2 linked regions of the Coturnix japonica genome follow. The protein of the gene in region 2 purifies or fractionates together with the protein of the main gene of each other region. This does not show direct contact. Links are inferred from orthologs where the notes say so. Each region holds a gene or a part of one and is shown on either strand. Other genes may lie near its edges.

What was found.
Region 1: the proteins of potassium voltage-gated channel subfamily A member 5-like (region 2) and KCNAB2 purify together in Homo sapiens (co-immunoprecipitation; 3 studies listed by BioGRID and IntAct, counting the BioPlex papers as one, with this or other methods). This does not show direct contact. The link is inferred for Coturnix japonica from reciprocal best matches to the Homo sapiens genes KCNA5 and KCNAB2.

The regions. Positions count from the first base shown.
Region 1 is NC_029536.1:552,191-556,544, reverse strand, and holds the start of KCNAB2 (voltage-gated potassium channel subunit beta-2), read left to right. Parts: upstream 1-1,517; 5' UTR 1,518-3,561; coding exon 3,562-3,779; intron 3,780-4,354.
Region 2 is NC_029516.1:67,515,160-67,519,432, reverse strand, and holds the start of potassium voltage-gated channel subfamily A member 5-like, read right to left. Parts: upstream 3,043-4,273; 5' UTR 2,721-3,042; coding exon 822-2,720; 3' UTR 1-821. UniProt on the Homo sapiens protein: Voltage-gated potassium channel that mediates transmembrane potassium transport in excitable membranes. Forms tetrameric potassium-selective channels through which potassium ions pass in accordance with their electrochemical gradient.

The sequences.
Region 1 (4,354 bases), on a different chromosome or scaffold from region 2:
GAGGCGCTGCGGCTGCAGCCGGGAGCGGATGAGAGCAGAGGGGCCGCGGAGCCGCTCCCGCTGTGCGCAGGGTTTGCTGCAGGGGTTGCAGCGTGGGGACGGCCCCGCTGCCGCAGCCGCTGCCATTGGGCCGTGCGGGCTGCAGGGGATGCAGCGGGCTGTGCATCCGCTGCAGGAGCGGCACGGAAATATCTCGCTCCAAATGCGGGGCAGAAAGCAGCTCATGGTCAGCCGGTGCTAATCGCCAATGGAAGGACCATCTGAATTTGAAAGACTAAAATCCCGCCCTTCCCCTCCCGCATTCCTCCCCAACCCCCCCAGTACAATGGCGTGAGGGCTGCAGAGCAGCCACAGGGATTGGAGCGGGTGGGAATAACGCGCAGCCTGCAGGGGGAGCCTCTATGTGATGCCGTAGCGTTGTGTTGGGTTTGGTTGTTTTTTTTCCCTCCCATCAGCAAAATATTGAATTTTGCAGGCCCCGAATTTCTGCGTTGCTTCCTGCTGTGTCGCAAGAGCACGCTCAGGGCAGCAGGGCGGGCAGCAATGCAGGAGCAGCACGGGCAGCGGGCAGCCTCGCTTTGCACCCAGCAGCACAGCAATGGGCCGGGCTGGGCTCAGCATCCCCTGTACCACCCAAGCACACACTCAGCTGCGGTGCTGCTGTCTGCATTGGCTGCAATGTGACACGCTGCCTTCCAGCAAGTGGCAGGAGTTTGGGAGCCCATAATGGGGGTTGGCAGCATGGGGTGGGCTGGGGGGGAACATGGGGAGAGCAGAGCCGTGATGGTGATGGTTGTGGCAGTGGGTCCCACACGGGGTGGCAGAGCTGTGCCATACCCGCACGGCACCGCACACCCATCCGGCCAGCGACAGGAAGCACCGTCACTCTCACCCTCCAACTGTGCTGATTCAACCCAGCTTCCTCTTTTTGCAGGGGCTGAGGCAGCGCGCGGGGCGAGGTTGGCGAGGCTGGCTCCATGTATCCGGAATCCACCACGGACTCCCCGGCACGACTCTCGTTGAGGCAGACGGGCTCCCCCGGCATGATCTACAGGTGAGCAGCCATGTGAGCGGATCCCGGGCAGCCCCTGGGTGCCAGCACCCCATATTTGAAGAGCCGATCCCTGCTGGTACATTGTGCAGCTCGTGGGTTTGGCAGCGACCCGTCCCGGCTTGGCTGCGCGGCGCTGCCCGCTCCCCACTCTGCTAACGCACTTTGTGGCATCTTTCTTCTCTCTCCTCCTTCCTTGCTGTCGGAAGCGCGAGGTATGGGAGCCCCAAGCGCCAGCTCCAGTTCTACAGGTAACCGCGTCCTTTCTTTCTCCCTAAAAACACCTGGGAAGCAGAGAAGGCCCCCAATGGGGCAACCCCTGCTGGTGCCAGGGCCCCATCTGAGGTTCTGCCAGGCCGGGACACCCCACATCCATGTGTGTTGGCTGTGCCATGGGCAGCTGCATGCTGAAGGACCCGGCTGGGGCATGGGAACCACTGGGGGGGTCAGGATGTGGGGCTGGTGCTGTATGGAGAGCAACCCGGGCTGTTAGCAGTTCCCAGGGGGTGCTCCAGGCACCCATCCAGCCCTCTCATCTGCTCCTTGCATTAAGAGAAATGTCATTAACTGATACCTAAGACCACAGATAGCTTTCTTTTTTTTTTACCCAACCTTTTACTGCCTAAAATTAAAAAGGCACTTTTCCCTGGCACAGTGTGCCAGCAGGGCGCTGTGGGCTATGGGGATGGTCCATAGGGGCATGAGGAACAATGCATTGAGTCTGTGTCCCCAAACACAGTGCGTGGATGGGGTGACAGTGGCGAGAAGGGAACTTGGTGCTTGCATTTCGGCTCCCTGGCGCTGCAGGGATGGCTGTGTCCCGTGGATGGACAGCTCAGCCCATGGCACCGCGAGGCGCCGTGCTGCAGCCGCCGGTGAGGGTCGGCTCCGGGCTGAGGAAACGATGCCAGCGTTCATAAAGCAGCTGCACATCCACAGGCTTTTAGTGAAGAAGTCATGAATAATTGAGCTCCTGTTCGCTAGGAAGAAAATAACCTAATAGGGCTAATGGAGCGCCGCTCAAAAACTTGACTCTGGGGGGACTTGTGTTCACCAATTGCTTTGGATGCTCTGCGCCGACACTCCCCTCCACGAAAAAAACCACAGCTGTGCCTCCCTTATAGCTGTCTGAGGGAACCCTAACAGCCAGAGCTTTCCCTTTTAATGAGCAGGAACCCCAGAAGCCGGGTGAGTCCGAGGCACCAGGGCAGCACTCGGGGCTGTGAGCGGGCGCTGCGCTCTCTACTGGGGGCTGCAGTGTAACACTGAGCTGCTTGGCTGGGGAGGGCTTCGTTTGGGCTTCTTATTGCAGTTGTTGTTGCAGGCTGTGACACCCTGGGCGATGGGTTGGGACTGAGGCAGCACTTCACACCTCATTCCCCTGTGCTGCTCTGGGGCCCACTGGGCTGGGGATGTGGGCACAGGGTGATTGCAGCACACAGAGCCCAGAGGGGGTGCTCCCACCGTGGCACATCACTGCCCGGCTGCAGCAGCTTCTCCAGCCCCGGGCTGAGCCGTTGCTTCTCGCTCTTCAGTTTGCAGAAAGTTTGTGCTAATGAGCTGCCCGTGGGTGCGCCCGGTGCTCTCCCTGCTGCATGGCGATGTTGCTCAGCCAAAAATCACAGAGGTGTCAGCTCAGGGCACGCCATTAATTACTGCCTCGCTGCTCCGAGCGGCTCCAATCGTCCCCCTCCGACTCCATCCGCCGCTTTAATTTAATTGCACTGAGATGAAGCCGGAGAAGCAGCGCTTTGCACTCCAACGGCTGCACAGTGAGGGGCAGCTGGTGGGGTTGTGTGTGAGATCCATCAGCTCAGAGAAGGGCTCAGTGCTGGCACTGCAGATCTGAGGGGTGCTGGAGGTTGGGGGGTTTTGCTTTCAGCCCTATGGCCCCACTGCAGAGACATGGGGACACACGGGGAGTGCTGTGCTCAGCTCATCGCCGCAGTGGGTGCTTCGTGGCTTTGGCCTCAGGTGGGGGATCCTCTTTGTGCATTTCCCTGTGCTTTAGGAACACTCTGGGTTCCTTCCCTGCACACGAGGAGCTCCAAAGCATTTTCAAAAAGCATTGTTTATTGCAGGAGCTCCCTGGGGTTTTTGGTAATTCCTTGCAAGCTAAAGCTCTTTCTTTCCCATTCTTGCTTTTTTCTTGAGGTCATACTTGAGTACAAAAGCGCCCTTTGTGCCATAGAACTGCTGTGAGATTGAACTTCACAGGAAAAGGAAAGGATGCCCCATGGCAGTGGGGTGCAGGCAGGCCTCACCCTTATACCTGTGCTGTGTGCACGGTGTGACCTCCTTCCCTTCCCTTGCTCGCTACTGTGCCGCATGTCCCGTTTCTTTGGCACCATGGCTTTCCTGCTTCAGCCGGTCATTGTGCTACCTACAGCCGCGTCCTCCTGCCATCCCCATGCCCTGCACAGCACTGTGGGGTCCGGGGACATCCAAGTGTCCCCACTGCCCGCTGAGCACCGCTGCTCACCCCGCAGCCCCCGCGCTCGGGCAGCAGGATGCTGTCCATGACGTACAGCGAGAGCCTGCGCAGCGTGGCCAGCCGGCACCACGCAGAATGGGGGCTGCAGCCGCCGCGCCGGGCGGATGCTTTGGAGCTGCGGCGGCTGCGGGATGTGCGTGCAGCAGCACAGGCCAAGACTTTGGAGGAGTTCCTGCGGACACACGGGCTCTCGCTGGACGGCTGCACGGCGCACGCCACGGGCATGAGGTACAGGTAAGAGCCGTGGCCATAAGTCCCTTGGCACAGGAGCAGGGTGGCAGTGGGGCAGGGGATGTGGCTGCTCTGTGTGTGTCCAGTGCTGAGCCGTGCTGCCCAGCATGGTGTGTGCAGGAGAGGCCGGAGCACATCAGTGCGTCCTGTTGGCACAGCTCAATGCTCTCACCTTCACTTTAACTCCAGTGTTGGCACAAAGTTGGTGTGTGCCAATGCACAACTGCACTGACCCTGCTGTGAAATGCAGCACCAGAGCACAGGGCAGGGGACAGAGCTGAGCCAGCATCCCATGGAGGGCACAGTGCCTGTGAGTGCAGGGCCAGCAGTGCGCCATTAATGTTGCATGGAGGTGCGGGCAGTGAGCGCTGCGTCGGTGTCTCAGCTTTCATGGTGCTGCTGGGGGAAGGGGGGAAAGCAGCCCCCGTGGAGGGCAGGGCAGCAGGAGCTTCCGCTTCACAATAAGCAGAGGTAACATTTACACCGTGGCAACGGCTCATTCAGTATTCATGCAGTGGTTATTTATTGATGGAGTGTGTGGGCACAGCCCTCGGGCACCCCCCCACCATAGGCCTGGT
Region 2 (4,273 bases):
CTATAAAACTGTAAAACACGTATTTATTTTGGGGAGGACAGAAAGCACAAGACTGAATATTTAGAAATTCTAAAACTGTAAGGTGATTGATAAAATTATTTATAAAGAAGCCTATTTACATTATTTAATAATTTAAGGCTCACAAGGAACTAATATCTCACTGATAGTAAAAAAAATTCTGTGCTGGTGTTAAAAGCACCAAATTCACTTTTCATACTACACAACCAGATCTGTAGTGATCACAAGTGGAAAACTCTAGAAGTGCTGATCTGCCAGTATTCCTAGTGCTTTAATGGAGTGGAATGTCTCAGTAATAGGAAATCCCATTTCATCGATAAATATATTGATGTAGACACAAAATAAATTAGAATATTTTCAGTTTGAAACTGAAAACTCTCATTGTTCTCTCACACTCCAAAACTCACTCATTCTCTGCACATGTCCCCCAGCTCTTTAATAATCTGCAGAAAATGTATTGATTACAAATGACCATTTCAAACCAACCATCATTTGCTAATAAAAGTTTCTAAAAATTAGATTTTGTATTTTCATAATTTACCAGCTCCTGCATCACGGAGAATAGTTTACTGAATCTATTTTAAAAACAGGTGACCATTTGTGTCATGGAAAAAGAACATAAAAACATTTATTCCCGGAGGACTGCTCAGGACAGTGATCAAATTACAAAATATAGTCTGATTTAAAAACCTAACAAACAAACAAACCAAAAAAACAACAAAATTGGTAGGAAAATAATATAGTAGTAAGTTTCTGACACCAGCAAATTCTGCTGCATCTCTAACTACAATTCTCTCCTTTCCTCACAGGTCTGTTTCCCTGCTGCTATCCAGACAGAGGGCATATAGTGATTTTCTGAGATCTACGTTACTTTTAGCTTTGATATTGGTTTTCTTTAAAGGGCTGGCACTGCTTTTGAACTCTTCATTATTTTCCAAGTGCACAACAGATTTGTCCAGAGAGCTTTTACTGCATCTTCTCTTTCCATCTACCCCAGTTACACTGTCCTGAGCACTACTGTGTTCTTCTTTGAGCATAGCTTGCTCTTCATGGTCAGTCTCTCGGTGGTAGAAGTAGTTGAAGTTGGACACAATAACAGGGACAGGCAGGGCAATGGTGAGCACACCAGCAATGGCACACAAGGACCCCACGATCTTGCCCCCCACAGAAACAGGTCGCATGTCCCCATAGCCCACAGTGGTCATGGTCACCACAGCCCACCAGAAAGCATCAGGGATGCTGGAGAAATGAGACTCAGGGTCATCAGCCTCAGCAAAGTAGACAGCGCTGGAGAAGAGGATGACGCCGATGAAGAGGAAGAAGATGAGCAAACCCAGCTCCCGCATGCTGGCCTTGAGGGTCTGCCCCAGGATCTGCAGCCCCTTGGAGTGCCGGGACAGCTTGAAGATCCGGAAGACCCGCACCAAGCGGATGACTCGGAGGATGGCCAAGGACATGGCTTGTTGCTGGCCTCCACTCCCATTGCTGCTGCTACCTCCAGGCTGCTGTTGTTCATTGGCCAATTCTGTGCCCAGCGTGATGAAGTAGGGGATAATGGCCACGATGTCAATGATGTTCATGATGTTGCGGGAGAACTCTGGCTTGCTGGGGCAGGTGAAGAAACGCACAAGGAGCTCAAAGGTGAACCAGATGACACAAGTGGTCTCAATGATGAAGAATGGGTCAGAGAGGCTACTCAGTGACTGCATGGGTGAGGAGTCTCCAGCTGTGGCATTCAAACCTCCACTTTGCGGGGGCAAGAACATGGGTATCTCTCGTTCATCCCTGAATTCAGGCAGAGTCTCCAGGCAGAAGATGATGATGGAGATAAGGATGACCAAGACGGAGACAATGGCGATGGCCCGGGCTGAGCTGGAACTCTCAGGGTACTCAAAGATGAGCCAGACCTGGCGCTGAAACTCGTTGTGGGGAAGGGGCTTGTCCTCTTCTCTGATGAAACCCTCATCCTCCCGGAAGCGCTCCATGGCCTCCTTCCCCAGCTGGTAGAAGCGGATCTCATCAGCAAAGACATCAATGGAGACATTGATAGGCCGGCGGAGCTTGCCCCCAGACTGGTAATAGTACAGGATGCCATCAAAGCTGGGCCGGTTCCTATCAAAGAAGTATTCATTTCTGAGAGGGTCAAAGTATCTGCCTCGCTTTGCTGGATCACCCAACAGTGTGTCAGGAAACTGGTTGAGGGTGCCCAGCTGAGTCTCAAAGTGCAGCCCAGAGATATTGATTAGCACCCTCTGATGATGCATTGCACCCCGGCTCGCTGCCTTCATCTCCTCCTCCTCGCTGCCTGCTGCCATGGCCATGCCCCGGCGGTGACCCCCTTCCTCCGGGGGATCCATTTCCGAAGCCGGCCCGGGGCACGGTGCGTTTGGTTGCGGTTGGGGTCCCGACGCCGCCCGGCCGCTGATGCCGCCCTCGCTGCTGCTGCGGCGCCTCCCGCCGCCTCCTGGAGGGGCAAGCGGGGGCCCCTCCCGCTCCTCTTCGACCTGCGGCGGCGGTGATGCCGGTGGGGTTCCCTCCTTGCCGTCGCTCAGTCTCGGAACAGACGGGGATCCCGCGGTGTGGCGTAGATCGCGCCGTCTCCGAGCCCTGCTGCTACCGCCGGCGTTACCGGCCGTGGCATCCTCGCCGGCCGGGATGGCCCCGCCACCGCCGTTCTCCAGAGTCACCAGCGCGATCTCCATGGGCAGCGGCAGCAGGCGGGCTCCGCTGAGGTGGCGGGCATTCTATGCACGACGCCTCGCTGCCGCCATCCACCTCCGGATGGGTGGGCGGCGGCCCTGCCCTGCCCTGCCCTGCCCTGCCCGCCTATCCCTCAGTGCTCGGCGGCCGAGCGCGGCCTGGGGAAGCCGTTCGGGGACCCGGATATGAACGAGCGATCATTCTGATGATTTGACGTCAGCGAGGATCCCTTCTCCCCAGCGGTGGCGGCGCCAGCTTCCCCCGGCATCGGGCTGCCGCAGCAGCGCCCCGCCCCGCAGGTGGGACCGACAGCATCCGTGCTCCAGCCCAGCCACTCCGTGCCCAAGCGGAGGGAATCACGGTGTTACCCCGAGCGGGTACGCATCCCTTGAGCAGGGGAAGTCTCCGGCTGGAATTGTCTCAAATGAAATCCAGAGCGCCTCTTGGTGCCTGCTGAATCCTCCTGCCTTCACAGCTTAATGAGAACAAAGAAAGGGATGGGATCTGTTTTGCTTTGCTCCCATCCTTTCCCCGCCCTTAACATGTAGTTCCAAAAGGTGCTTCTGAGGCCAGCAGATAGCAAACGTTACACTGGATTACCCGAATGTTAGCATTTATAATTTGGGACCATACTTTGCCTTCAATGATTTCTTAAACCCACATCCAAGGCTGACACACTTCAAAATATATGCATTTTATTAAAGAAAATGAATTGAAGTAGCTTTATATGATGACTTTGGTTACACTTCAGTAATATGATCGATGCTGTGGTCTTATTTCCTGGGTTCAAACTGTGAACTTCAAGGTCTAGAAGACAACATATTCTAAATATATACATAAACAACACAGGATTAAAACCTATACATATACATATATATATATATGCACAACATCAGTTGTAAAAGATGATACTAAATGGAAAAAACATTTTGCCTTCTAGGTGGCATCACTGCAGTGATATTTGAATCCTTGCAGTAGTAATGATATTCATCAAATGTAGAATAACTGGGATTAATGAGTTTTCACTTAATTTAAACCATTACCTCTGTTTATGAAATATGCCTAAAGATATTATAAGCCATGCCAAAACAGAAAACCATAATTATATTGAATGATTATTATAAATGATGATTTGTCTGTGATCTAAAAGTTGCCTCTGAGAGCTAAGCATGGAATCACTGACCTGCTCTGCCATTGAGAACTTACTCACACAAGTAATTCCTAGAAACAAAATTACAGTATATTTTCTAGAGCTGCTCTGAGATCCTGATGAGGAAAATGCACATTGCTAACTGACACAGTTGGAAAGCACAGCTATGTTCTCTGGGCACCTTCTTTGCAGCTCCAACATTTCTGAGAACTTAGGATGTTATCTGTGTATGTGGGTACAAGGGAAGAGGGGAGGAAAGGGTGGGAAGAAAAATCTATTCCAAAAGCAAATTTTAAAGGGCAATTCTTATTTAGCATTCCAAATTTTCTGAGTATTGTGAAATGAGAAGAGCAGACCATCTAGTAGGAAGCAAAGATATTGGAGAGAAAGTATGACATGCAGACA